Linked DNA regions of Styela clava. The protein of the gene in region 3 purifies or fractionates together with the protein of the main gene of each other region. This does not show direct contact. Links are inferred from orthologs where the notes say so. Each region holds a gene or a part of one and is shown on either strand. Other genes may lie near its edges. The genes, in order: nucleolar protein 10-like, neuroguidin-like and protein AATF-like.

Region 1 (10,673 bases), on a different chromosome or scaffold from region 3:
TTAATCACCTCAAGTCACCATTTATTTTACAACAAATCAATACCCCGACCAACATCATAGCTAATATCGTTACCGGGAAATTCATAATTTTATTTACGGAATTTGCAAATTCAACACTCCACTTGACGATTTTGATGATGCCACGCCCTAATTAATACTGCAAGAAAAGCTTCAAAATGCAACAAATGTAGTCAATTCCGATGATGACTCCATCCATGGTCGAGTATAATGTTCACATTTTTGAAACATTATTTGGTCAAGGATGAAATGGATCACTAAAAATACACGCCGAGCTATTAGAAAGTCCATTAAAAGAAAGTATGGCCTGTCATTTCTTATCTGGTTATAAGTTTTTATACCGGCTTTTCAAAACTCTGACTCGCCATTTTCAAATCTATGCTATTTATATGGTACTCCCGTGGTATGTGAACCAAGATGGCGGACACACGAACGTAGTATGTGTACCAAGTTAGGGTCAGGCCATAACTTCAGGTGCGAATACTATAGGAGTCACCTGGCTAGTCCCCGAACTCGTAATAGAACTAAAATGAGGAAAATTTGAACAAAATTTTGGCCTAACCTGGTACACATACTACGTCCTGGTGTCCAACGTCTTGGTTCGCATATTACAGGAGTACCAATTATATAACTCGAATTTTCTGACGACCTAAAATTGCCGTTTTCACCATGTATCGAAAACGTCTTTGTAACTCTTAATTTCCGAAAATGATTTTGTATTCGGGTCATGCATGCGGAGGCTGGTAACTTTATTTTAGATATCTTATTTGGGTTGACGTTTCTACATTTACGGACTAGTGTCGGCACGCTTTTTGCAAAATGACAGTGGAGGCCGAGGGTGAATTCTCGCGTAATCCAAGCGATCGATTTACCGGCGTGAATTCCGTGCCCAAGCAAAGCGGTACAGATTATGTGGTATTGTACATACGAATAGTAAAATGGCATTCGAATATTTTAATATTGTATTCGCTATTCGAATATTTTGCACAGCCCTAGACCGGCCATGCTTAAAAAACTCATTTCGCAAAGATAGGTAGTAGAAAATGATAGCAAGATTGGAAGAGGTTGTGAACCGCGCTTTGTGAAATTTATATAAATCCATCGGACGGTTAAATATCAGTTATGACGTCATAATACTGCAAAAAAGCAATTTTCCGCGGAACACCCGGAGGTCTCTCGCCGTTTGAAAATCAATGATCTATAGCAGTGGCCGGCAACCTTTTTTCAGTAACGGACCGGTAAAGCCTGACCAAAATTTTGGCGGACCACCTTTATACAAACGAACTAATCTAATAATTAATATGCGTTAGAAAATGTATGTTGACAATACATTCAAAAACGAAGGTGATACTATTCACGTAACGTATTTCTTACGTTAAACCCACTTCGATCTTTCGTTTTTGTAATTGCCATTTTAAAAACCCAACCTCACATGAAGATAACAATGGCATTGTACGTTTTCATGTCACCTTTCTGCGGACCGGTAGTGACCTTTCCGCGGACCGGCGATGGGCCGCGGCCCGGTGGTTGCCGACTACTGATCTATAGTATATGAAGGAATTTGCATACAATAAACAATGGAATAACTGTTATCTACAACATGACTATATTACCATGCATTTCATATTTGCAGATTACTGCGATATATTTTTATATACCATGAGTTACGTTATCAGAATTAAATTAATACGGCAAGCATTTAAAATAGTGCTATCGGTCATAGATTTGAACATTTTGCGCAACACAAAATCATCCTAGTAAAAGTCCATACTTTTAAATACCAACCATTATCCAAATTATTTGCAAAAAGCGGGATAAAGTATAAATTATATTTCTGACTTGCGACAATTTTTTCGTGAGTACGTAAATACGAATGGATTTTTTTTATATTCGGGCACTTCAATGTCCGCATATATATCTTTTATTATTTTATAAATACGAAAATATGTATCAAGAATTAATTATAATCGGGCAGTTTACCACACATTTTAAGTCCATGGATCGCCGTTGTATTTTGTAAATACGAAAATAGGAATCAAAAATTAATAATAATCGCGCAGTTGACCACACATCTATGTACATAGATTGCCGTGATATTGTGCCCGAATATAATTTATTTTTGATTCCGTATTTCATTCCTTGAACTTAATATCTGTTTTTATAAATTTTGCAAGCAGTTCACGCACGAAGACTTTGAATAATGATGTATTAGTCAAATCGAAGTCCTGTTAGACCACTGGTTCTCAACCAATGGGCCATGGGCAATGTTCCCTTTAATTTTTGTAGCATGTGTGCGCAGAAATTTTGGTGTGTGCGCACTTTTTTGGAAATGACTAATATTTGTGCAAAAACCAATGAAGAAATTATGGCGTTCTAACTGGGTAATGGGTGGGCCAACAACAAACTTTCTCAACCTGCCAACCGAGAACATTGCTACATTACATCAAAATACGTCTGTGAGCAGTAAATCTATGCGTGTGCGCAGCCTCTGAAAGCTGTGTGCGCGCGCACACGCGCACACCTTAGAGGGAACACTGGCCATGGGCCACTGGTAAGCCTCAGAGGCATTTTGAGTTGGGCCACAAACATATTATAAATTACAAGGTTTGTTGATCTAGAACAGCTAGATATGAAAATATATATATATTAATTTGTTTGCACATTACATCAAAATTAAAAAGAATATAACGAGAATGTCATGGCCTTCAATTCGCCAGGCTCGAACTGAGCATAACATATAAAAAAATTAACAAAAAACGAATCCACGAGGACATTGTCTTATAAATACGAACAGAACAAACATTAAATTACCCAATTCCTAATATATTAAATTTTCAAGTATTCCTCACTATCCGTCGGAAGAAATTTCATCCACTTCTTCCTTTTAGTGTTCCTCTTTTTAGTGACTTTAACCACCTTATTATTCGCCGGAAGAAATTTCATTCACTTCTTTCTTTTACTGTTCATCTTTTTAGTGACTTCAACCACCTCATTATTCGTCGGAAGAAATTTCGTCCACTTCTTCCTTTTAGTGTTCAGCTTTTTAGTGACTTCAACCACCTCATTATTCGTCGGAAGAAATTTCATTCACTTCTTCCTTTTAGTGTTCAGCTTTTTAGTGACTTCGACCACCTCATTATTCGTCGGAAAAAATTTCATCCACTTCTTCCTTTTAGTGTTCAGCTTTTTAGTGACGTCAATCACCTTATTATTCGTCGGAAAAAATTTCATTCACTTCTTCTTTTTAGTGTTCAGCTTTTTAGTGACTTCAACCACCTCATTATTCGTCGGAAGAAATTTCATCCACTTCTTCCTTTTAGTGTTCAGCTTTTTAGTGACTTCAACCACCTCATTATTCGTCGAAAGAAATTTCATCCACTTCTTCCCTTTTAGTGTTCAGCTTTTTAGTGACTTCAACCACCTCATTATTCATCGGAAAAAATTTCATCCACTTCTTCCTTTTAGAGTTCAGCTTTTTAGTGACTTCGACCACCTCATTATTCGTCGGAAAAAATTTCATCCACTTCTTCCTTTTAGAGTTCAGCTTTTTAGTGACTTCGACCACCTCATTATTCGTCGGAAGAAATTTCATCCACCTCTTCTTTTTAGTGTTCAGCTTTTTAGTGACTTCAGCCACCTAACTACCCGTCGGAAGAAATTTCATCCACTTCTTCCTTTTAGTGTTCAGCCTTTTAGTGTTTTTTAATTTTTCACCTTTGGGAACACTTCAACTTCCGTTTTCCCTCCACTTCATCCGTTTCTTCCTTCAGCCTTTTAGTGTTGTCCCTCTGACTCTACAAGTTACCGGTAACTGTACCGTTAATACTGTACTGTCGGTTGTATTTATATGCTAGTAGTATCTTGGTATGATTGCATTGGTACCATCAGAGTATAATCTTATTTAGAACTGGTGCACTACAACAGCCTGGTAAACGTTGGGGATACCGGTACCGGTACGCTCGCCACCGCATCTCTGATTACCCTTCGTGGGATCGCAGGTTCGAATCCCATGCAGGGATGATCATGTGCGAGAGGATTGCTGGACTCCTCGCCGCCGTAGAGTGGTTCAGGTAACCGCTGGTCAGTTACGGCTTCCTCCACCATCAAGTCCATGCTCCTGAAAACAAATAACTGGCTAACTAATCCCATACCGTACCTGACCGCTGACCTGGACTGGTAACCGGACGAGAGGCCGTGATTCGCCATATGATTAAGCCGTTTTATCGGCTTTTCTCTTCCCCGGGATAAACATGTAAATCCTATTCTAGTGCAGTAGTGGGGCTGAGGGCACGGCACGGGTCTCATGTACGATTGTTTTGTACCTAACGTACTTCTAGTGGGCTTGGAAAAAAAATGTTCACCTGTCAATCCCAACCCCCACCTGACCACGCCATTCAAAAATTATGTCACAGTGACGTAATAGACCCCTTCCAGTACGGCACGCTATCCAAATTCCAAGAATTTCCCTCTATTTGGTTCAATAAACAAGCACTCATGTGTCTCACAAACGAGGAGTATCTGGCACGACGGCAGATGAGTCATATCGCGCCATGCTTGTCTCAATAATAATCTAAATTGACCGTGGCCATCACGCGACCAAAATTGCCGTTTTTTTTCTAAAAACTCTCGAATGCCACGGTAAAAATTTTTTCCTTTGGTAAATCGGATTATTTTTTCCCGAGGAATTCAATGATGACATTTTTAGGTTGCGCTTTTTTGTTGTATTTTGCGCAACCTCATTATACTGTATTTGTACCGATATTGAGGGACAACAATGTCCTGTCCAGACCTCTCCCAAAGAAGGGGTGTCTGATCATCAGTAAAATGGGTTTCTCTGAAACGAGACAATGCTGCTTGATCTGTATAGTGTGTTGTACTGCCATATACGATTTTCCGGTAATCAATTGAAGAAAAATTTTTTTATTCTAGCTTTCCCGAGTTTATAGCAAAAACGCTCAATTTTGGTCACATTTGTTAAGATTTATTCAGTCTTAATGATTTACGATGCGATCTGGTGCATCTTCCATAGTTCCAGATGCCCTCATTTCAGAGACAAATAGAATGTTTGTTTTATCGAAACAAATGTCGGGACATCTTGAAATCAGAGAACTGTCCCCTACTGCAGTACTTTCATTCTCATCCTGTCATTGTAGACCGGAAGTGTGTAACTGCAGTTACATCATAAAACATCCTGATATCCAGGTCCTGCTCTGGTACTTCAGCTCTTATTTCTGTTGTACACAACACTGTAACATATTATAGATATTTGAACTGCAGTATTGGTTACCTGGTTTTGCTCTACCAGTCTACTGGACATTGTTTCTGTGTTAGAACTCATAGTCACTTATGCCTTGAAAATAATTTTGAAATGTTGTATGTATACTATTTGTCATTGTTGACGAAATAAAATACTACTACTACTACTAGCCTACTACTTATCTCATTGTAATAGAGCGACTCTACTGAGACATAGACTTGAAAAACTGACAGTGAGATTTGATTTGAGATTCAATGATAATTTTCACATTTCCCAGTAAAATGCAATTTGTTATATGTCATTGTTTTCTAATACAGTAATTCCTCGCATTGGCAAATACTGCAATACACGATGAAGGTTCATTGGGAGTTATTACAATATTGCTAATTTATACAAATCAGTTCTTTTTGTCAATGTGAGCTTTGGTTATGCACTGCATTCTTTACTCAACTTGACTTGACTTGTCCTCCATTTTGAGATCAATGCCCAGTTTGTAATGGCAATCATTTTTATGTTATACAAGTCTTATGAAAGATATATTTGATTTCTATAAGTACCTACTGGTACCTTTCTTGCCGCCCCCAATCCCATATCTACAGACTAATTGAACTATGGCTAGTAATTTAACAAGAAAAGTTTTTAGTGTTTTGGTGTATTTTACAGATTCAAGATTTATATTCTTAGTTTCCAAGTTCTTTGAAATTCTGACAAGGTAATACAAAACAAAAGCTGTGGCATGCAGGTGACTAGCCCAAACAGTATCAAGATATATAATTTGAGCAGCGGAAATTCACTTCCACAAGTAAGTGCACCATTCAACTTTGATATTGGTTTTATTAATGAATTGACACAAGATTTATTGTCTTGTATATAGAATGTTTAATTTTTTTAGTGGATGTGTTCAAACATTGGTCATTTTATATAAATTAACAAATTAGAGATGCAAGTATTGCAGTACACACAGCTGTGTAAAATTGCTTGTAGTAAAATTGCTTCGATTGGGAGCAGTTCAAGATTTACAACAACTTATTGGATCAGGTTTTCTTTTGTGTCCTAATCTACATGTTGGTATTATTAATTAATAATCATCTTCCCGATTCTGTCTTCACTTAGTTTCTTTCTCAACAAAAAAAGCGAGCTCTTCTCAAAAAAGATGTCAGTTTACGTAGAAGAATCGAACTCATTCAAGATTTTACGATGCCAACTGTCTGTACATCAGTGCAAATGACAAGAGATGGAAATTATGTCTTTGTTGCAGGTGAGAAATTCTGTTTTCCTAGTAGAACGTTATGTTTCCAAACATATTTACAAAATCTACTGTATATAATAGCTTAGAAAGCCAAGAAAAAGATGAAATTCTATAAAAAGGAAATTACTAATCAAGTGATTTTGTTGATAAATATCTGAAATATTTAATTTGGCACGGACCATTGGCTACTGTAAAGCTAATATTATTTGGAAAAGTAATGGAAAATGTAAATCTAACTAAATCAGTGGTTCCAAACCTTTTGTTCGACTTTCCTTCCTTAATTAACTTTTCATTCCCTCCTCACTATGCATAGTCTACTTCTTGTTTCCAGTTTTTATTTCATATACAATGACGGAGCGACCCACACTCTAGCTTTCATACATTTTGAATAGTATATCTGTGTATAAATAAGCAGGCAGTACTATGGTGAATTATAAGGGAAAATATAATTAGGACTACGACTACCGGTATATGTAAATTTCCCCCCGAAAAAATAAAATAGATTGTATAAAATTTTCTCTCCAAAAACAATAAAATTCCATCCTGGTTTGAAGATGCCTTTTTGAAGTATAATATAATATTAGAAAATATATTAAAAAGCTGTCGAGTTCTCAGCTTGCTTTTATATATTAATCTGATTAGTAACATGAACAGTTAATAAGCACCGGAAGTTGCTTTCAATTCAGTTGATATTGGATTTAAGACACCAGTTCTCAACCAGTGGGACATGGCCCACTTCTGGGCCACAGAAACTTTTCCAGGCGGGCCACAAACCTTTTAAAAATTTTCAGTTATTGATAAATTAGTCAATCTTCGATTGCTTTAGCAATGAATTATGCTTTTTGGCACTGGGTGGTAATTTAAATTTTAATTAATAAAGTGGAGGTGTCCATCATTGCGAAAAGATTTTTTTCTTTTAGTTTTTCCCTTGCGTGAGAAAGGTAATGGTCACATGATTTTTGTGCAATGAAAGTGGGCCATAAAAGAATAAGGTTGAGAACCGCTGGTCTAAGTTCCATCTATCTATAATTGCGACTTCGAATTTACAAAAATTCTGTATGTCTGTCTGTCTGTCTGTAAGTCTGTCTGTGATATACTGATATTTTAATGAAACAAACAAAACCTCCTTTTGCTTTCAAGGAACCTACAAGCCAAGGATTCGTTGCTTTGATGTAAATCAACTTTCCCTGAAATTTGAAAGATGCCTTGATGCTGAAGGTAATTTTTAAATAATATTTCTCTCCGTCTATATGAAAGTATTTTTCTGATTTATCGAATTTTTTTTTCAGTTGTTTCATTTGAGGTTTTGTCAGAAGATTACTCGAAAGTAAGTAAGTTATTTTGTCATTTTTTTTTTAAATACCGCTTTAACTTTTTATTCGAATATACTTTTATAGAATTAAAGAAATTGTCTTCGATTGATTAACAAGCAACTGGCATTATGAAGCATAATATGTATCCAAATTTAATTGTCATTCAAATTTATATACATTTGCATATGGTTTTGATAATTTTTGAGAGATGAAAGTTGATCCTAACGGCACATATAGGACATGGGTAGATGTGCTCATGCCTGTACCAAGCATATTGATTCATATGGCCTATTGGTATTTGATATGAATATAACTTTGCTCATTAAATTGACATGCGATAAAATTTTTATCCGACTATAAGTGGTTTTTCAAGAATTGAGCGATTTTGTTATAAGCTTTATTATTCTTCTGTTCTTTGATTTATATCCAATTGGTAATATACCGTAAATGGAAACTCGCAAATAGAACTGATAACTATGATAACAGTGGGGTGTTACAAAGAAACTTAGAATGATGTATGGGCGAAAAAATTGTCTCACAGATTGGAGAAATACCAACTACATTACTAACTTTATGCTATATTAAACTACACACCACATTTTCTGCCGTGATAATTGTGGGAATCTGTCTTCTGGGTTTCACTGTGACTTGGAGAACTTTTGAGCTTCGAGTCAAATTCAACTAAGATTTACTTGATATATACGTGATATATTTGTTCATGTCAGTACTTTATGCAAACTTATATCAAATAAAAAAAATCACCAGGACCAACACAATTCATATGAATTATTGTATTCTAAGAAATCTTACTGCAACGAAAATATCATCCTTTTTAATTAGTTTTGTCTTAGAGTTTTCAAATTACGAATTTCTTTGATCAGAATCTATTAGGCTATTTAGTAAAGTATCTAAACTATTAGCTTTATCATACCATTTTGATTAAAATTGTTTTTAAATTTAGATTGTTATGTTATTGAATGACCGTTATGTGGAATTCCACTCACAAGAAGGAAGGTGGTACAGAGTAAGAATGCCAAAGTTTGGCCGGCACATGAAATATTATCCTGGAAATTGCGATTTGTATTTAGTTGGCACAGGGTAGGTTAAATGTTAAATTAAAATTTGTTTGGTAATAAGTTGAGAATAAATGGGATACATTCATAATTAGGCATTTTTGTAAATATATCCTCGTTGACAATAAATTTCTTCGTTATCGGATATAAATTTTATATTGTGTTTGTGTCATATCTCTACCTTTGAGAACAATTTGAAGCAAAAGTACTGGTCTAGTGCCTTGTTTGGAGAAGATGTGGATGAAAAAAAATATGAATATCGCTTCTCTACTCATTTAGTTGTCGTTTAATAAATACATTTTTTTTCAGACCTGAAATTTACAGACTTAATTTGGATCTTGGAAGATATTATCAATCATTCAAGACGAATGCTCTGTAAGTTGTGAAAAATCCATTTAATTTACAAATTTTACAAGAAAAAATAAAATGATGCAGCCCTGCAAATTAGTAAATATTACACATTCGTCTATTGTCGTACAAAAATATTTGTTATGAATTTATGATCGAGATACATGGATATACATACTGTGATACCTCCGTAGTTGAACATAATTCGTTCGGGATTGGTGTTCGAGTTTTGCCATAATCTTTGAACTTTTTTGCCATAAGAAACGATGTTAATTTTTTTGATCGGTCTTGCGCATTCCAAAATGCCTAAAATATTAATAAAACGTGTACCTAAATATCACTGAGTATGATAAAGATGAGCAGCCATTTTCCATTTCCTCAATTATTTGAGGATTTGCTTATTAATTGCTGTCACTCCCTGCACAACATTATTTTTCTCTGTCATTCCTCATTTTTCAATAATGTGGAAATGGTAGACTTTGCCATACCATACTGTAAGTAAGGCTTTACTTTCAACTCGATAGTTGTTCTCACTGTTTCCTCTTCTCCTTCCCTTTATCACTACTTTTCTTTGGAGCCATGATCAATGGCAAAAAGCACTATATAATAAAAATTTCTTGATTGTGTCATCCCGCTAACGTTTTTACTTAAAATGATGCTCGTTGAATGGCCAAGAGACTGCTGAAATGCGCGGTTCGGGGGCGTCACCTCACCTTGCTCGGCTCAGGTGTTTGAGCTTCGAATTGTCCATTCGAGTAACGCAGCATTCTCGACTCAAATTTTTTGGTCGACTACCGCATTGTTCAAGTGTTGAGTCTTTCGACTACAGAGATATCATTGTATTGAGCAAACAGTACCTTACAAGCAGATGCATGAACCATCCTGCATGTATATTCCTTCAACTTAATACTCTTTCATATGATTCAAATTCAAGAATCATAACATAATTTGAGCTCTAGTGAGTTACGTCTTACACAATTAGTATCTGTATTGCAATGCCAAAGTGTAGAAAAATATAATTCTTTACATTTCAGTGAGCTCAATGTATGTGATATAAATGATCACCATCATTTACTTGCCGTTGGTACATCTGATGGGAAAATTGAATGCTGGGATCCCAGATCACGACAAAGAGTTGGTATTCTTGATTGCGCAATGTCTGCTGCTGAAGAAAACAAAAGGTAATCATGTAAAATAGTCCCTACGGCTATAATTATTGGATTGGATAAAAATTGGCCATCCTAAACCTATGTAAATATAGGTGACAATGGTATATTTTGTATTATATACATGAATGAAAATATAGGGTCAACTACACAGTGACAGTGTAAAAATAGAAAATCAAATAAAACAATTCTTGTCTGAACTATTCTACAATACTAAATTTAATTTCTGTTAATTTACTGAGAGAAACA
Region 2 (9,804 bases), on a different chromosome or scaffold from region 3:
GATTTTTACGCCCAATAGCAAATAATATACCAAATGAAGGCCATTAATATGGCCATAAATACAGAAAGGCACTAACTAAAATGGATCAATCTAATATTTTTTTTTATTCAACATTATATATATCCTTCCATCACGAACAAGGCTCTGTACAAGCCATTAATTTCCTACTCAATTTATTATGCACTGGGTGAGTAAGTATGACATTTGAACCCGTGATTTTCAACCTTTTATGATTAGATTATGCTAAAGTCCAATGCTTTAACCACTAGGGCTAGGCCATCGCGACCCGTTGTAATGAAGATCAGTCCGTTGAAAATATAAAACAGTGAAACATGATTAAATGCTTCTTAGATAGCCAACTTTCATTTCATGGTGACTTGAATTATTATGTGCTATGAGAACTTTTGCGATTTCTAGAATTTTAAAATATATGCTTGAATTTATATACTCCTACTCCGGTTTAATGGTATTCAAATAATTCAATATCAATGAGGCTTTGGTTTATGACCATCAACATAAAAATTCCGTGTGGCTGATGGCAATTGAACTTCAATTCCATTTATTTCTTTAGAAAGTATTATTTGGCATGAAAGTCTAGAATTTTCCTGAAGAAATGGTGCAAGGTCTAACATGTCCTCTTCTTCCTCTGTTGGTTCTTCCAACATATCATAATACTTATCCTTGACATAAACATGGCATGTGCAACATGCCAGCGATGCCTCACATGCCCCTTCAACCTCCAAATCATGCCTCTGGGCTAAATACATGACATTGTCACCAACTTTACCATCAATGACATGGGTTTCACCTTCACGGTCTATATATGTGATTTGAACAGTTTCTGGAGATGATTCTTCTCTTCCTCCTTCATGTTCTTGAGTTGCAGTTGATGAATAATCTCTTTCATTTGTTCCACAAAAGTTTAAGTTAGATTGAGAACGGCAGGATTTATTAATATTCGAAAAAGATAGTTTTTTGCTAAAGTACATTGTTTTTGAATCTGATTTCATTGCACTTGAATTCGTTAAAGTCCTGTTACACCATGACCGCAAGGCCCGTGCTGTTGTTCGTAATCCAAGCATTTGGTGTTACTTTAGATAAAAACTCACATACATTACAAATTAATTAGTGAAATAGCAAAACCACTAAACGAAAAAAAAAAATAATTTGATAACATTCATGATTGTGGAAATATCGATATTGAAGTGGTGAGTCAAAAACACAAGACAGGAATTGAATCTAAAGTAGATTCGAATAAATTTGTATATTGTAAGTGGAATTCAATTTAAACAAAAAGAATTTCTCCAATGATGCTTTAAAACAGTGGTTCTCAAGCTTTTTAAGCTGGTCCTCTTATTAGAATTCATCAAGTCTCGCACCCCACCTCAAAAATAACTACCGGTAACAATAAGTTACAATTGACAGATAGTAAGGCGAAAATATGTTTTATTCAAAAAACATGTTGAAAATACGTGAACATACGGAAATATCCAAAATGAAGAAATCAAATACCCAAAATAAGGTGGACAAGATCTAACAAATATTTTAATTTTTATTTAGCTTCACGCCCCCTCAAAAAATTGTCTATGCACTCCTTGTGGGGTGCCTCACAGTTTGAGAACCACTGCTTTAAAATAAACATCAGTTGAAAAGTTTAGGTCATAATTTAAAAATCTGCAGTGCAGGTTTCTGGGCATTCTTCATTTAAGTTTTATTGAACAATTGATTATTAACAGACACAAGGTTGGCACGATAATTCCAAATAACAAACTTTCTATGAATTCTAAGTCTCTAAGACTATAACTAAAAACCTGGAAATGACAAATCAACATCATGAAGCAATGTTTCGAATATGATTTTTCCTATTTTCAAATTAAATTCAGAACATTGAATGCTACAAGACAGAAACCCTGTAAGAAATAATGATGAAAAAGACCGCTCACTGTATATCTGAGTTTTTTCGCTGGTATTATTAAAATTGGAAAATATGCCACCCAAGAATTATCATCTAAATTCATTTTTGTCATAATCCTAAATTTACTTTCTAAATTTTTTCCATTTTTTTGATCCATTATATTTTCCAGTACTTTTCCTTTTATTGTTATTATTTTTTATCTGACGTCCCTCAAGAACACCAATATCGCCAAACTTTGTGATTGTGTCAAGCTCTGACCGTCTCATTAGCTGTCTTTCAGCGTTCTTTTGTTTCTTTGTTAGATTAATCCTGATGAGATTTGCTTCTTCATAAGTTGTTCTTTCTGCTCTTTCTTTTTGAACCCGCTTTCTCCCTGCTGAATACTCTGATATTTCAAAAGGAGCATCTGAAGTTTCTTGTGCGAGATCCATGATGATGGAAGACCGCTTGAGAGCACGCTCTCTTGATCGACGGTCTTCTTGCTCGCTTTTTCCATCTTCTACATCATAATGTGAAGCTGCAATTCGTGGAGGAACATATTTCTTAGGTTCTTGTTCATCATCTGAATTACCACTTTCATCGTTATCAATTTTGCTTTCTAAATTATCAATATTAGGTTTCAATGACAGTGGATCATTCAATAAATTTTGGGTCGATTGCTGAAGCAGTTTGTCAATTTGGTATTTAATTTTGTGTTCTAATGGATTTAACTTTTCAAGCACAGTCCTGTTTTCAACCAAGCGATTTTTCGCATGACAGTCTGCAATATTTTCTCCCTGAATCTTCATTTTTGTGACAAATACGAGATCTATGATATAACTCAATAATGAATGATATTTTACATCTAGTAATGATACTCCTCCCTCAGTTGGCAACTCATTTTCATCAAGTCTTTGTAACAAAGTATCCACGAATTCTGTCATTGATTGGGCTTCTGTTGATAACATTTTAAGTAGATCCTCCAATGCTGGTACATCCTTGGCTATTAGCTCACTAGAGAGTTTGTCTATATTATCCATGATTGCGGGAGAAGTTGTACGTTAGTCTATGCCCATGCAAGATTTTTATTTATATATTATTACAGTATTATCGTGCCTATAGGATATTTTCAAAAATAGCATTGCTTTAAAACCATGAAAATATGAAGTTAGAAAAGTATCAATCGGTCCAGCAGTCAGTAGACTTTAAGGATTAAAAAATATACGGTACCACATACCAAATCGCAAGCTATGAGTAATTTTGTTAGCGTAAGAGGTTTTTTCATAATATAAATTAAATTCTATAGGACAATTAATACTTTTACGAAAAATCTACATAACCCCAAGATCACAGTCAGATGCATCTACAGATCTACCTAACATATTTCAGCAGAGTATTTTTGTATCGACCAACCTAGAGGCTGACAGTTGGAGTCATGAGGGCTTTTTTAATCTGCAATTTTGCAGAAAGCTGCGCAAAGCGCTTTAAGTGTTTTACGTTATCAGTTAGAAATGTAGAATTAATTTTGATGTAAATGCAATAAGATAGTGGTTAAAAAACGGGTGGCAATGAGTGAATGAGCAAATGAGCAATAAGTGAATGAGGGTGAATGCGACCATTATCACATCAGAGCACCAGAAGTCACCCCAGTCCACATTCATCCTGCGGTCCCAGACTGGATTCCATGGCAGGTGCACGCCCGGGGGCGCTAGCGCTCCACAAATATGCACGCGAGCTAATTCCATTTTGCACGCCGAAAATTTGCAATTGCTCACAAATGTAAATCGGTTTAAATGGTCTTTAAATCAATAATCCAGTAATATGAAGATATCAAAAAATTATAACTCCACAATTGTCGACTAATACTAGCTTGCAAGATTAGGCCTGATCGAGAAATGCGAACCAAAAAAGACCATATCGTGTTGAATGATAGGAATCCCGTGAGAATAGTTATAGGCGAAAAGATCGCCTCCTCACCGACGCTGGCCAGTTACAGCTCTGTTTCAGCAGAATTTTTTATTTCTAAAAACTTTTTAGTTCCTGATCAAGCATATTCATTGTGTACAGCGGATTTCTATACGAAAATTCGAGTGGCTCTGGCTGATAACCATCTAATTATATTTACACATATAAAAATTTCTAATAGTTGATAATTATAATATTTATCCTTTTGCATCCTATAATGTTTTTTAATACTAAATTTGACGACAGTGATACATCAAAAAATGCTGACCTAACTCTGATTGGCCTTGGGGTTGTAGGTCAAAATAATTGCATTTAATGAAGTGGTAGCAATTGGTATTAATACACAACATAGTGAAATTCATTTTCAAATTTGACAAACTTGGTCAATTTTTTAACCTATTTTTTAACCATTAATTCTACGTAAATACACTCCCAAAATTTTTGACAAAGTATGTCCATTTTGCTCTGATTCAACGTATTTTTTATCCAATAGTTTTACGCGGATGTACTGAGCAGTACCGGTATCCAAAGTCGCACAAACACTCTCAAAACTAGCGACAAACTGTAGAAATAATGTTTGGGGGTCAAAGGTCAGATGTCCATTTTTGCAATGATTCAACGTATTTTTATCCAATACCGGTAAGTTTACGCGGATGTATTGAGAGGTATCTAATGTCGAAGTCAGTTGCAAACGGGCGCAGTTGTTTTGCACACCGTGAGCTATAATTGCATGCCAGGAATTCCTATTTGCACGCGGGAATTTCTGACTGCACGCCCGATTTCTCATTCAAAAAGGCCATGAAATCCAGACTGGCTGCGGTCAACTGGTTAACCAAACTATTTTACTCACTTTATACCGTTATAAACGTTATTCCATGAAAACTTGGTTGCTCCGATAATAGACTATATAGACCATCAGACCATAGATGATATAGACCAGGGGTGGGAAACCCCTGGCACGCGTGCCAAGATTGGCACACGAGCCCATTTATTCGGCACGCGAGCGAGGCCTCGGAAACGAGATCATTCTCCTTTAGATAAAAAGTTTTAAGACTATGAATTATCTGATGAAAATAGGTGTTCGTTTGTTCATTTTCGAATGTTAACAATCCGGTATTTATTTAAACTCTTTTTGTCCTTTCATGACATATGGCTACAAAGAATAAATTGTGACGTAACAAATGATGGAGCTCTTGCGAAATTTGGTCGAGAATTCATTTGGCATTCACTCAGCATTCATTTGGCTACACTCTTACATAATATAGACCATCTGTGCCACCATTTTTTGTCATTTCTGCTTGATTTAAAAATGGAACAGCCCACGTTGGTTATAGTCACTTGCTAACTTACTGTTCTAAAATGATTTCAAAAGAAATATAAGCGATTAGGGAAGGTAACAAGAGAGAAATGCACAAAACGAACTATTGCTTGCATGATTGGGATGCCGTTCCCGAAAATTTACGGGGCCTTAAAAACTTTGCAACTGCATTACTCTACAATTCTACATATTTTCATCTACATAATTATGCTTGTTAATCTCTGTTCTCAGTTATGAACTTCATAAGTCTCGTAATAGGAGTAACCTGTAAGATGAAACCAGTACCGATAGTCCGTGTATTTATTTTAAAGTTAGAAAATACAAACCCAATATAAAATATCTATCAGCGTTAATGCAGCAGCAAAGGTCTCACTGATATTGAATAAAAAAAGTAATCAAGTCTATTTGTCAGACTGATATTTTCCCAAATAGTGAACCTGTCTGTACATGTTTAAAAGGTTTATTATTTTGTATGTTTGCTTTGAAAGTAGCAAAGGTACCGGTACCGGTATGTTTTTAATTTTGGTCGGCACGCGGAAGAATTTTGTCCTTAAATTTATCTGATTTTGGCACGCGAGCCGAAACTATCCCAGGCATGTTCAATACCAAGCACAGACGAGTTATAACCGAGTATAGTCTAACAAAAACGAGTGTGGGCTAGCGTCGCCGTCACACCAAAGTGACTACCGGTATACCGTATACGTATACCGTACCGGTAGTCACTTTCAGACTTTGGGTCACACGAGACGCGAGTCAGCGAATGCTGGAGTGAGTGTGGGACCAAAGTTACCCCAGCCCACACTCGCTCAGCCCACACTCAGCCTGACGTCAAGGGGTTAACCAACTATTTTACTGACTTTATAAACGTAATTACATAAAAACTTGGTGACTCTGACAATATAGAGACCATATCTGATATACACAACGCAAATACAATACCAAGCAAGGCCCAGTTACCGGTACCCCTCGCATGGCCTGACAAAAACGAGTGTGGGCCAGCGTCACACGAGTGTGGGCTAACGTCACACGAGTGTGGGCTGGCATCCTACGAGTGTGGGCTAGCGTCACACGAGTGTGGGCTGACGTTCTGACAATGTTTCACCGTAAGTTAAGGCATCCTAAACGTTCACAGATTACTAAATTACATATATCCATGTTTAACTCAGCGCCAGAACCTCTCAAAGTCCGGCAATTGATGGCACAAAATAGCCACAATTGCCGGGAAAATAAATCAAAATCAGCTGAACAATGATATCTCTAATCACTGTTGCCAGATATATAGGTGGACAAGCATGAATTCACAGGAAGGTTTCACAACAAAAAAAAAATTATATCTAAGCGAAATACCAAACCTATTCATTTCCATCAATAAGAATGAGATATGAACAAATCGAATCTGATTTGCACAAATACATCTTTTAAAATAAAGATTGAACAAGCAAATTCAAAAGCAAATTAAGTAACATTTACCCAAAGAGTTACATTGTCTTGATGGCTTTGAAGTCTGATTTCGGCACTTCTAATACTTTGTACGCCATGAAATCGACTTATTACATTATATATCCAATTATCCAACAAATAACGAAAAATTTAAAAATTCTACCGGGGGGAAAGACTTTAAAATAAAAAAAGAATGTACCTATGTATAAAGATAATTCTATTTCCCGACAATGGTATTCTATGACAAAATGCAACAGAGAATTGAAACTTTTCTATTAATTTGTTTAATATATTATATAGTGAATTATCTTACAAATACTAAAAAATAAAAAAAAATTACCTGGGGGAAAGACTTTAAAATAAAACCGGAATCTACCTATATCTGACGATAATCATAATTCCCGATAATAGTAATTTATGACAAAATGCAACAAGAAATTGAAATTTTTCTATTTGTTTGTACATCACGAAATTTGCTTATTATATTATATAATGAATTATCTTACAAATATCGAATATTGAAAAAATTCTACCGGGGGGAAAGACTTTAAAATAAAACCGGAATCTACCTATGTCTAACGATAATCATATTTCCCGATTATGGTATTTTATGACAAAATGCAACAAGGAATTGAAACTTTTCTATTTGTTTGTACATCACGAAATTTGCTTACTATATTATATAGTGAATTATCTTTCACATATTGAAAAATAAAAAAATTCTACCGGGGAGAAAGACTTTAAAATAAAACCGGAATCTATCTATGTCTAACGATAATCATATTTCCCGATAATTGTATTTTATGACAAAATGTAACAAGGAATTGAAACTTTTCTATTTGTTTGTACATCACCAAATTTGCTTATTATATTATATAATGAATTATCTTACAAATATCAAATATTGAAAAAATTATAGCGGGGGGAAAGACTTTAAAATAAAACCGGAATCTACCTATGTCTAACGATAATCACAATTCCCGATAATGGTATTTTATGACAAAATGCAACAAGGAATTGAAACTTTTCTATCAATTTGTACATCACGAAATTTGCCTATTATATGAAATAGTGAATAATCTTATAAATACTGAAAAATAAAAAAATTCTACCGGGGGGAAAGACTTTCAAATAAAACCGAAATCTACTTATGTCCAACGATAATTCTATTTCCCGACAATGGTATTTTATTACAAAATGCAACAAGGAATTGAATCTTTTCTATCAATTTGTACATCACGAAATTTGCCTATTATATAAAATAGTAACTCATCTTATAAATACTGAAAAATAAAAAAATTCTACCGGGGGGAAAGACTTTCAAATAAAACCGAAATCTACTTATGTCCAACGATAATTCTATTTCCCGACAATGGTATTTTATTACAAAATGCAACAAGGAATTGAATCTTTTCTATTAATTTGTACATCACGAAATTTGCCTATTATATACAATAGTAACTCATCTTATAAATACTGAAAAATAAAAAAATTCTACCGGGGGGAAAGACTTTAAAATAAAACCGGAATCTACCTATGTCTAACGATAATCATAATTCCCGATAATGGTATTTTATGACAAAATGCAACAAGGAATTGAAACTTTTCTATCAATTTGTACATCACGAAAATTGCTTATTATCTTACATAGTGAATTATCTTACAAATATTAAAAAATTCTACCGGGGGGAAAGACTTCAAAATAATACCGGAATCTACCTATGTCTAACGATAATCATATTTCCCGATAATGGTATTTTATGACAAAATGTAACAAGGAATTGAAACTTTTTTATTTGTTTGTACATCACCAAATTTGCTTATTATATTATATAATGAATTATCTTACAAATATCAAATATTGAAAAAATTCTACCGGGGGGAAAGACTTTAAAATAAAACCGGAATCTATCTATGTCTAACGATAATCATATTTCCCGATAATTGTATTTTATGACAAAATGTAACAAGGAATTGAAACTTTTCTATTTGTTTGTACATCACCAAATTTGCTTATTATATTATATAATGAATTATCTTACAAATATCAAATATTGAAAAAATTCTACCGGGGGGAAAGACTTTAAAATAAAACCGGAATCTACCTATGTCTAACGATAATCACAATTCCCGATAATGGTATTTTATGACAAAATGCAACAAGGAACAAACCATAGGATCATTTTCAATTTACAATTAAAATTTAACGTGGAACACTATTAACGCGAAATATTGATAATGGTTGGGTGTGCTAATTTTGACTTTAATTTGAAAGGCTTTCCCGACGGTAGAATTTTTTTATTTTTCAATATTTTTTAGATGAAATACTATGTAATATGAATATTAAATTTTTTGAGGAACAAACCATAAAATCATTTTCAATTCACAATTAAAATTTGACTTAGAACACCATTACCGTGAAATATTGATAACGGTCGAGTATGCTAATTTTGACTTTAATTTTAAAGTCTTTCCCGACGGTAAAATTTTTTTATTTTTCAATATATTTTAAATGAAATACTATGTAATATGACTATCAAATTTTTTGAGGAACAAACCATAGGATCATTTTCAATTTACAATTAAAATTTGACGTGGAACACCTTTACCGCGAATGTTGATAACGGTTGAGTGTGCTAATTTTGACTTTAATTTTAAATTCTTTCCCGACGGTAGAATTTTTTTATTTTCTAATATTTTTGAGATGAATTACAATGTAATATGACTATTCAATTTTTTGAGGAACAAACCATAGGATCATTTCCAATTTACAATTGAAATTTGACGTAGAACACCATTACCGTGAAATATTGATAACGGTCGAGTGTGCTAATTTTGACTTTAATTTTAAAGTCTTTCCCGACGGTAAAATTTTTTTATTTTTTAATATATTTTAGATGAAATACTATGTAATATGAATCTTAAATTTTTTGAGGAACAAACCATAGGATCAATTTATAATCAAAATTTGACGTGGAACACTATTACCGTGAAATATTGATAATGGTTGAGTGTGCTAATTTTGACTTTAATTTTAAAGGTTTTCCCGACAGTAAAATTTTTTTATTTTTCAATATTTTTTAGATGAAATACTATGTAATATGACTATTAAATTTTTTGAGGAACAAACCATAGGATCATTTTCAATTCACAATTAAAATTTGACGTAGAACACCATTACCGTGAA
Region 3 (11,098 bases):
TTTTGTTCAATGAGTTGTCGAAGTAACTGGTGATAAAAGTCATCGTCATCATAGATTTCAGGCAGATATTCTTTTAAATGACTACTGTGGTTGTCGGCATCTTCAACAGGTGTCTATTGATTGAAAACAAAAGCTAAAGGGCAAAAAGCAACAGTTGACAGGGATGGGTGAAGTCAATAACATAGACCTGATATGAGTAAAGGACTGAAGCTTGGCACACAACTCTGTTCAATTATTCGTGCCTTCTTTGATCTTAAGGCAACATGATACTAAAATAAATTGTCTTTGAAAAACAAATATATTGTGAATTATATTTATTAGGACTTTCCATTTTTATTCCAAGGTAGAAATTCAATAAGACAGCATATCCATGTTGCGAACCAAAAAAGATTAATGCCCAATCACCAGTCCAGATCAGCTTTGGAAATAGCTGAGTTACCCGTAATTATTCGAGATTGATGGATACGGATGCTGAAGGAGTCAAGACGTAACCAGCTTAGGAATCCTTTCACACATAACTCCTTATACCAACATCTCAAACCAAATTCTGGACCAAAAATTTAACATACTAAACCACAATATTTCACAGACCTCTAGTTTATTAGACTGAGTCGTTCCCAGTATACGATAGTTCGTTCTTTTCAATTGTGTCCGCTTGATTAATCTTTCACGGTCTTGTAATATATCTTCTATCTGAGAAACTGTCGACCGTTCAAAATTTGAGAATGACTGAAATATAAAGAGTCATAATTGTTATGAAAGAGGTAAAGTAAAACATTATGATATTCTTAACTCTACAAATATGACGAATACTGATTTACGTATGTATACCTTTGATTTTGATGTCGCTGTTAATCTTGTTTTATCATACCACAACTTCAGTACTTTATTCCTATGAGTTTTATATGAAGTAAATCTGTCTTGGATCATATCATTCACCTCTTCCATCGACGTTGTACTTTTCCGCTTGTTATTACTATGCATAAAAAATAACAATAAATTTAGAGATGACTACCCACAACATTTCTATTGATGTGTGTCAGTCAATGGGAACATTACACAAGATATATCTCTTCAATGTGCACTGTGATTTTGTAGTGTCATTCAAGTCCCAAGCATTATAAAATAAATAGAGCAATATGATCGCATAATGTTACTGCTGCAACAGCAGATCCAGACGATTAAAATTTCAATATACCAGTGCAAAAACTTCAGATTTTGATGACGATAAACTTGGAGATACTTCAATAAAATTCATTATTTAATACTATTGAAAAAAACTAACAATTTCACATACTAAAGCTAACGTATCACTGAGATTTAGGTACCATGAATGTATTCAATTTAGGGTTTTTGACAATAAACATACCTGATTTTAGAATCTGCTATTGACTGAGTTTCAGGATTTTGAGTGAGAAGTCTCCTTTCTAATTCTAACAATTTGTATAAAAGATTAGACAAAATTTTATCCGCAGATGAAAGAGAAGCTGGTAATTCAGTTTTAAATAGTTCCATCTTATCATATTGAGGTAATCTGTTAGATATTGTAAGTATCTTCTGAAATTTGATTCGAGCTTCAAGCATATTTTCCCACAAACCTAAAAAATATAAAAAAAATTCTCAAAAAAACAAATTGAATTTATTCGCAAAGTCAAATAGTCAATATCTGTCTGTTCACATCTATCATTTGTTTATGTTTATCCTCGACAAAGAGCATCGATAACTTTGAACTAACAGTAAAAAGTGTGCTCTTATACAAAATGTGAGGTAAGCAAACAGAAAAGTTATGGCCCTACTACATTGTGCAGCAAATGAAATTTTAGCGAATATACCGTAGATAAGTATTGTACAATACATTCAGGTATCGTTTTCGTTATATGACGTCTTTCACTTTAAACAAAGCTCTATACAAGTCTCTATTACACCAATATGTAAACAGCTGCTTTTTTCTTAAGGACCTCAATCATTCACCTTATTACACCCTGAGTGAGGTGGTGATCATAGGTTCGAACCATGGATCTTTAATGCCAATATAGTTGAGCCCAAAACTCTAGCCATCATAGGGCTTCGCTCTAATGATATAAGTATGACCAAACAATTACATAATCCAATCAATTTGTCATTCCCATCAAAAATATTGTCCAACATTAGATGAATATTAGAATTAACCAGATTGGCAGATAAAACTAACAAATTTTAATTAATAAAAGAAACGTAAGTAATCTCACAAAATTGATTTCTAGTAGCTCTCGATTTTAATAATGGATCAGCCTTTTTCCTATTTTGAAATATTTTTAAACTGTCATCGCCATCTCCATCGGCTTCATCAGAATCAATTTCTTCATCCATTCCATCATCTTCATCTAGCATAATGTCTCCAACTTCACTATTATAGCTAGTATCACCATTCATTTCTCTGCATTAGTAGTGAAAAACATATTCAAATCAAGAATTTGGATACAGGATGTCAATAGATATAGAAAACAACATAATAGAAGTAAAAGAATATACCTCTCAATATCTTCATCAGTTTGATCATCTCCACTGTCAATATTTTCATCTTCAGCATTCCCATTCTATAAATAAATTGCAATTATATAAAACACATTCTAAAAAAGACATTTTTCATCACCCAAACTTGACAAATGATAAACTTTTGTCCTAGCACATGAATAAATACAGCCAACCTACACTACCAAACTATATTATCAACAATGACACGAGGATAACGATAAAATCAGGTAGAGATACTAATAAATAAATAAATGCTTTTTTAGACATAGTGAAGTTCAAGAAATGCAAAATTTTTTCCTTATACTCGGACAGGATCGAAACAGAGGATGAAAAACAATTATAGCGCAATTTTTATCCTAATTCTTGCTGTGGCTGCACACTTGCACAGACTATCTCGTCTATGATATGCACTAACTGGAAAATATTTTCAGTCAAAAACACCTCGACAGCAAAGATATTTGATATTCTCATAAAGACTAAAAACGATATTTGGAGGTCATGATATTCGAATTACAAAAGAATTCTACTATCGTACATGATTTTTCTCACTATTCTTGACGATACAGAATAAAACGGAAATGTAATCTAAATACCTTAATGCACTTCATGATAGCAACAATATTTACCTCCAGTTCAATGTTATCTTCATTGCCAGACTCACTTCCATCACCATCTGATGTTTGATTCCTTGATACAACTTTACCCCTATATAGCTCTCCCATGCCTTCGAGCGACTGCATTTTTCTTCGGCCAATTCCAGGAACATGTTGAATAACTGTTCCATCTTCAGCATCACTATTCAAATCATCTTTCTCTACAACTTTAGCTCTGGTTTCTAAACAAAAATTCTACCATGTAAAAATACAACAATTTTCATTAGGTATAGATAGTCGTAATATATCGTTTTACTTAGTTCGTCACTTCAATCATGGAGTAACATTTCGGTCAGATATGCTAAACCCATAAAGTACAGTCATTTCAAAACTGGGTAGCACATACAGTTATTAGTTTCTGGCATTACTGCATTATATAAAGTAGAAATGCAAATATCAAACAAAACAGATGATCTATATATATTTTAATTCAAGAAATTCAAGAACAAGGAGTCTATGATCAAGGATACAATTTTTCTAAACCAAAAAAATCTTCAAAACAAAATTGAAAGCCTTTTAGGGAGAAGTTTCAATCTCCGAATAATTGAAATGTGACAGTGATTCAGTAGTTGAAGAGAAAACAATTCAATTTATACCAACCACAATATTCACAAACAATGTTTGAGTAATAATAATAATACTGGGTCACTGGTTACAGCAGGGGTGCACAACCTTTTCTCGTTTGACGGGGGCATTACATTTTTGTAAAGCTGACTTTTTCAACGAGTGGCGTCATCGCGATCAGGTTTCGAACAATAACTTCTTTACATAAACGCCAAAAAAATCTAATTTCATCTGGAATTAAAGAACCGTTTCTCTGTTAACGATATCCCGCTTTAGAGATATGAAAGAATATTCAGAGCTGTTACTTTTTTATAATACTGATAATTTATTTCCATTACAGACACAAGTAATGATATGATTTTTCGTAACACTCAAGCGCCAACATAAAACATAAATTATTTTTCAGTAACACACCAGCACAGCTGCACATTTTACCTGCGAAAGCCGCATGCGGCCGTACGGCTGCAGGTTGTGCCCCCCTGGGTTATAGCGTTCAGTCAAAGAATATTATGAGTATGTAGGTACCCAGCAACTCAGTAGCAAGCCAAAAAACACCCCTAAATGGTCAGGTCTATTTAAGTCTTTAGGTGCCATAGCACAACCACAACTGTAGAAGTGCATCACAGTTTTAGCAAAAAAATGTGCATAAAGTGAACAGTAATGCATTGAGTGTTATATCACAAGTACCTTCATAAATATCATCTTCTGGGTCAATGCTCTTCACACTCGGATCGAAAAGCCTAGCAAGTTGTTCAGCTAAAGATGTCATGATGACATTTAAAATTGTTATGTATACTTTAAACTTGATTTTGTACTTGGTTTTCTAAATAAAAAAAGCAAACATTCAATAAACTGATAAAGGTCGATACCCTTCGATTGACATTATTAACAAACATTTATGAATGCCCAATGTAAAATTTCAGATAGTGGCAGTCTCCATGCATTTTAATGAATTTTAGGAGAAAAGAACAAAAACTCTTGAGAAAAGTGGGTATGTAAGTACTTTATTGGATTTTATCGTCACAATCATTAATTCAACAACTTTTTATTGTAACATTCAGAAAATTCAAACCTAAATATCAGAATTATGAGATCAGTTACAGAAGAGCATCCATTTGAACTACAGTACCAGTTTGTGGCAAAGATGTGACTAAATGATACAAACCACAATCATAATCAAATATAAGAAACTCCATTCAAAGGCAAAAATTCCAAAATATGCACTCATTAAAATAATACGGTTACGACAAATTACACATTCTATACTTGTCTATCCATTTATATATACACAAATCAATTTACAAAATAATGATATGAGAATATCACTTTTAACAAACAGACATTCAACATGATGAAAACATTGGCAAATACAGTAATTCTCACAAGTTCAACCTTGAATTTTTTTATGATCAAAGTAATGCTTATAACTTGATAATATATAGTTAATATTTCTTATAATTCGAATCTCCACCCTTTCGCTTTTCAATAATTTGATTGATTTGCATCAGTTCGCGATTCAATTTTTGTTTTTCATTCTGCTCCTTGGTTCGTCTTGTTTTTCGACCTCCTGTCATTTTTATTCCATACTGGAAGGCAGCTTTAGGCATTGCTTCTTTCTGAGACATGTAATTACTATATTCTTCTTGAGTATCAAAGTCCCATCTTCCAACTGGACCTTTCTTACTACCTTGATCCATTTTACTGTAATCTGCTTCATCATCACTATCGTCTCCTACGCCTGATAAATTGTATTGCGCTGATGGATAGCATTCCATGTAACTGTCAGATGCCCCCGCTGTGCCAATGAGTGGATTGCCTTTGCCAGACTCTTTCTTTTGCTTTTTAGTTTCTTTGGTTTGGTCTGGTTGTGACGACCCTGCATATTTTTCATTGACATTTTTTACAAAATTTTTCACTGAAGCAGCAACAGCTTGTTTTGATTCAACCATTTCTTCTTCCATTTTAGGTTTCTCAAAATAAGAATGAGCATTTTTTGCAGGCTTGCTTCTGTTCTTTTTTAGAGTAGGAACATATTCACCAATATCATCAAATATGCCCATGTCTGCTTCAATGGGTCTTTTATGTGGCCTATCATTTTCAGTCTTTATCTTTCTATCTTTCTTCTTTCTATGCTTTTCGCGAGCACCTTGACGTAAATATGACAATATCTGAGTCAGTTTATTAATAACAATATCGTTAGTTGATAATGTTGTTTGAGACTCGAGTGTTGGGCAGTCTGCTTTACTACGAAGCAGAGTAGTGGGAATATCTGTGTCTGCAAACTCATCATCGACTTGAAAAACGTACGCCATTCGTCCCGGCAAAAACAATTCATTTCTTAGTTTCATTTGAGGCTGGAAGACAAGTCTGTGTATGTTTTTTGCCATTTTTGTTTTGAACGTAACCACTTCTTTCTGTTGCTGCTGTTGTTCTTCTTTCGTGTTTTCTATGTCTTCAGATAAAACTTTATCAAGTTCTTCGTCCTCTCGTTCTTTTGTCGATATCTCAGCTCGAACCTTTTGTAAAAGAGCGAAATCGAGACCTTTTACCAAGTGAGTATGAGCCATGTCACCTCCAAGATATTTTGATTCTTGGATGACTTGTCTTCTTTTCTCAGCGGAAGTTCGGTCCGCTTCAGCACTTGGGCCAACGGTTTTGTAATTAGCAGTTGTATTGATAAGATCAGATTCAGCATAATCTCCTTTACCTTCTCTCCTCTCTTTTGCTCGATCTCTATATTTCTTTTGAAGTTCAGCCTGCCTTTCCATTTCTTGCTTTTTAAGTTTTGCATACAAACTTTTCTTTTTTCTTCTTTTTTCAGCAGCCGATTCATGATCTTCTGAATCAAATTCTGATTGGGACGCTGAGACTCGTTTTGCTCGATCATCGTGAGTTTTTTCACCACCAGCTTTAGGGGTCGTCAAAAATTTTCGAAAGTCTGCATTGGTTAGAGGTTGTTCATTAACATTGCCATCAGTCTCATGATAATGCTCAGGGGGCAGAGGATTAGAAAATTCTTCATTTGCCATAATGCTTTATTGATAAAATTAGTTCAACAGTATTTATAAAATATAAAAAAAAAAATGAATGGCTGAGTATTGAACTGTCACTGACATAACGGCGCGGCGTTGTGGCTCAACGGGCTAAGCGTTAGGAATACGCTCGCCACCGCACCTCTAATTACTCTGCGTGGGTTCGCAGGTTCGAATCCCATGCAGGGATGGTTATGTGCGAGAGGATTGCTGGACTTCTCGCCGTCGTTGGGTGGTTCACGTAACCGCTGGTCGGTTACGGCTTCCTCCACCACCAAGTCCATGCTTCCGAAAACAAACAATATAACTAATCCCATACCATACCCGACTTGGAATGGTAACCGGACGAGAGGCCGTGGTTCGCCATATGAATAAGCCTTCTTATCGGCTTTCCTCTCCCCCGGGATAAATAGGTAAATTCTATCCTATCCTATAACTGAAAGAGATTCCAGTTTAAATGAAGATGGATGGCTTAAACTTGTATATGCCGATTTCCACGCTTTGTCGCGTAATGCAATGGTGGTGAAATAGTATCGACACTTTGATTGTTCATTATCTTCTGTGCGAGCGTGCGCCCTTATTGTTGCGACACATTTGCATGGTCGCAAGATTGGCACTATCGCCATCCCCTTGCAATGCTTCTAATTTACGGATTCATTTGTATTAAGTCAAGGAAGTCACATAAATACAAATAGTCAGATAATAAATAAGTTAAATAAAGTCGTGCACTTTGTTACAAATTACAACACCCAATAAATTGTCTCATGTCTTAAAAAACGAGTTGATTTATTGGAAAAAATCCTTTAAACATTTTCACACTTTTGGCAAATACCGTATTTTGATAATGATAGTCAAAAGTATCGACTTTTTATTATGATGATTTTCCGTTGCGACAAAATATTCAAATTCATGAACAATAACAGCATTTAAAATGCCTTGTCGTATTAATTTAATTTTGTTTAATAATTAACCTAACTCGTGGTTGCGTCAACTAACGAAAAAATAAAAGTATTACCGACAATCTGCAGCATTGAATGGTGTGGTGCACTGGCCAATTATAATTAATTTTTTAAACCTATTACAGTACTTACGAAAAACAAATATTGATACAACTCCAAAATACCACGGCAATCTGTGGACATAAAATGTGTGGTTGACTGCCCGATTAGAATTAACTTTGATTTATTAATTCGTACTCACGGAAAAATAATAATTTTGATAATGATAGTTGAAAGTATGGACTTTTAACTAAGATGATTATATGTTGCAAAATATTCAAATCCATGACCGACAACAGCATTTAAAATGACTTATTGTTATTGTATTAATTTAATTGTTTTTAACGTAACACATAGTTTTGCAGACTCGCGAATAAATTAATGCATTACTACTCTAAGATACGGCGACCATCTGTGAACATAAAATGTGTGGTAACTGCTTGATTATAATTACAAAATACAAAAGCATTACAACTTTAAAATAACGCGGTATCTGTAGAAATATAATGTGTGGTAAAATGCTGGATTATAATTAATTTTTGATTCACACTTTCGTACTCACAAAAAAATAATTTATACCTTTACCCACTTTCGGCAAATAGTTTTGATAATGATTGTTAAAAGTATGGAATTATCGGTTGTGCAAAGTATTTACCGTAAATCCATGACTGATAACAGCATTTAAAATGCCTTCGTATTAATTTACTTTTGTTCGATGTAGCCTAACTCATCAATGCCTCGTCTTACGAAGAATAAAATGTTTCAAAATACCACAGCAATCAAAAACACAAAACTAATGGTAAACTGCCCTATTATAATTAATTTTGATTCGCACTCTCGTACTTACGAAAATAAAAAGGGCATACTACTATAAAATATCACGGCAATCGGCGGATATAAATTTTCTGGTAGCCAGCTTGTAGGTAACGGTAATTCCATTGTTTATTGTATGCTAATTCCGCCATAAAGATAAGCTTGCATTTATTTTCGAAGTATTCGAAACTTAAATAATAATTTTGAATGTATTCGAAATAGTAAATTATTCGGTATTGGCCATCCCTGATGCCGTTTGAAATTTGCTCAATTAGTTTCACAATGTTTATGATATGACAGCACAAAATGAATATCCATGAATGTGGAGAAGGGGCAACATTTTTTAATTATGACCGACTGCACTCCTATGGCCTGAAGTAACATCATTGAATCAAATGTCTCAATGTTAAATGGCGGATAAACAGTTCACCAATCTGCCAATAGGATATCTGTATAACTCAAAATAAATAACGCCATTTCAGCATTTGGTTAATAATTTCTGAATTTAGTTTAAATCAGAAATAGAGTTTGCTATTGGGGCATCATCGAATAGATAGGTTAGATTTTACGAGAAAAAGTTTAGGAATATCAAATATGTCCTGAAGTCACCTCAGGATTGACACGTGAAAAAATTGTTATGCTACGCCTACTAGAAGTACGTTAGGTAGGAAAGTAGGGTGGCTTACCCACTTTGCGACCATCAACTTCATCGATTAAATTAATGCCGAAAAAATTAACGAACCGCGACGATATTTCTCACACGTTATCGTCCACTTATCCCTCGTAGCTCTGCGAAAAGACACTAAAATGCGGCCACAAATAAAAAAGTTACGACCGAAAACCTGACCGAAGAAAAAAAACGGACCATTTTACCATGTCGCCAACTACCCATTGTTCCCTCAAAAAAGCTTGAAAATCCATACAAATATAAGAGATAAAGAGATGAAACTTGGCAGGTGGGTAGAGTTGTGTTTCTTTCAACCATCTTTAAAGTTTCGCGTTTCTACCTTCAAAGGAGGGGGAGTAGGGGGGTGCGCATTTCCAATACGTCAATAATATCTTTGTCAACTAATTTGCGACCACCGTGTTTTTGTCTGTTTGATTGTTGTGATGCGGTGCTTTGTTTATAATTTGAAGAATTTTGTTTGAAATAACCGTGTTCTTAAAATATATAACGGTCAGAAATGCAATTAGAAGCCCATTTTTTCACGCATGGCTGCGTATGCCCCAGTCTCGACACAGCAGAAACGATGTTCAAGGCTTGAAATCCGTGATCGCACACTGGTCGTTCGGTCGCAAATACGTCTTCAGAGTGTCGTACTTTGGTGGTTTGTATAGCTTTAACCCCTGGTCGTAGAAAGTTAATTCGAAGTTCAGCGTGTAGAATAAATGCCAATGCACTTACGGTGAAAAAATTAACGGGTTAGAAATATTGGTTTTTGTTTTATAGCGGTTTGAATGAAATCGTCCGCAGATTGGCTACACCACCCTACATGAGACCCTAATTTTTCTAGTAACACTAAGTGTAAATAATGACTTACAATAACTTACTGTATTCAGATATTAGTATGTACCATAGCCCAGTAGTCTCATATTACTGTACCGGTATTACAGTATTAACTGCTGCTGTTGCCAGACTGCAGTATTGTGATCACAACATGCAGATATGCATACCATACACCTCTGTGAAGCTAGCAGCAAAACACGAAATTGTGACTGACAGAATCGCAGAAAATACCCACGCGTAAAATTAAATGTTCCCAATGATTTTTATAAGAAAGTGTATATTTTGATTATTTTCACAATAGCAATTAAAGCAAAACAATCATTAACTACACTCCTCGTATTGTTAATATATGGTAAACAAGCTAAAGCGACTGTTACAGTGCACAAAATTTTTTTATAATTCTTTGAGAGATGTTTAAAAATGACTGAATTTTCGTCGTGTAACATGGTCGTTTCATGAAAACCTCCAATAAAGGCAGCATTGCAACACCATTGGTGAAAAGTAGAAACCTCAAAGATTCGATTTCAATATGTCAGAACAGTCTCAGCACGTTTTGACTTGACCATATATAATACTAAACATAGCGTATATTCTTCAATTTTTAAAACAATGTATATATAACAAATTTGAAACTGATTTTGTATTTCAATTAAAATTACTGGATAGTTCATCAAAGAAGATATTTTTCTCTTTGTCACACAACAATAATGCACTTCATTAAACTTAGAATAAGTTGAGTAAAGTCTGAAATACTGAAAAAAAATTTACGCCCTCTTGTGGATTCTTTGATAAATTTCACAAAGTTATCGTTTTCGAAAGGGCAATTTCTCAAAAACCGCCAATAAAGGCAGCACTACGACACATTCGAAGAAAAGCAGATACCCTATAGATTCGATTTTAATATGTCAGAACAGTAGCAGCACGTTTTGACTTGGCCAAATATAATTCCAAACATAGCGTATATTTTTAATTTCATTGAAAAAATGTAGATGTGACATATTTAAAAACGGTTTGGTA

The links.
Region 1: the proteins of protein AATF-like (region 3) and nucleolar protein 10-like purify together in Homo sapiens (affinity purification with mass spectrometry; 4 studies listed by BioGRID and IntAct, counting the BioPlex papers as one, with this or other methods). This does not show direct contact. The link is inferred for Styela clava from reciprocal best matches to the Homo sapiens genes AATF and NOL10.
Region 2: the proteins of protein AATF-like (region 3) and neuroguidin-like purify together in Homo sapiens (affinity purification with mass spectrometry; 3 studies listed by BioGRID and IntAct, with this or other methods). This does not show direct contact. The link is inferred for Styela clava from reciprocal best matches to the Homo sapiens genes AATF and NGDN.

What each region holds. Positions count from the first base shown.
Region 1 is NC_135264.1:4,567,416-4,578,088, reverse strand, and holds the start of nucleolar protein 10-like, read left to right. Parts: upstream 1-5,940; 5' UTR 5,941-6,011; coding exon 6,012-6,077; intron 6,078-6,388; coding exon 6,389-6,533; intron 6,534-7,664; coding exon 7,665-7,742; intron 7,743-7,813; coding exon 7,814-7,851; intron 7,852-8,798; coding exon 8,799-8,935; intron 8,936-9,219; coding exon 9,220-9,285; intron 9,286-10,292; coding exon 10,293-10,439; intron 10,440-10,673.
Region 2 is NC_135251.1:17,727,933-17,737,736, reverse strand, and holds neuroguidin-like, read right to left. Parts: upstream 3,097-9,804; 5' UTR 2,935-3,096; coding exon 2,038-2,934; 3' UTR 2,036-2,037; downstream 1-2,035. Other genes in the region: 2Fe-2S ferredoxin-like, read right to left, coding at 486-1,082. UniProt on the Homo sapiens protein: Part of the small subunit (SSU) processome, first precursor of the small eukaryotic ribosomal subunit.
Region 3 is NC_135257.1:13,445,564-13,456,661, forward strand, and holds the start of protein AATF-like, read right to left. Parts: upstream 4,555-11,098; 5' UTR 4,501-4,554; coding exon 4,419-4,500; intron 3,350-4,418; coding exon 3,141-3,349; intron 2,577-3,140; coding exon 2,512-2,576; intron 2,417-2,511; coding exon 2,229-2,416; intron 1,599-2,228; coding exon 1,370-1,598; intron 977-1,369; coding exon 832-976; intron 730-831; coding exon 592-729; intron 114-591; coding exon 1-113. Other genes in the region: protein Red-like, read right to left, coding at 5,174-6,760. UniProt on the Homo sapiens protein: Part of the small subunit (SSU) processome, first precursor of the small eukaryotic ribosomal subunit.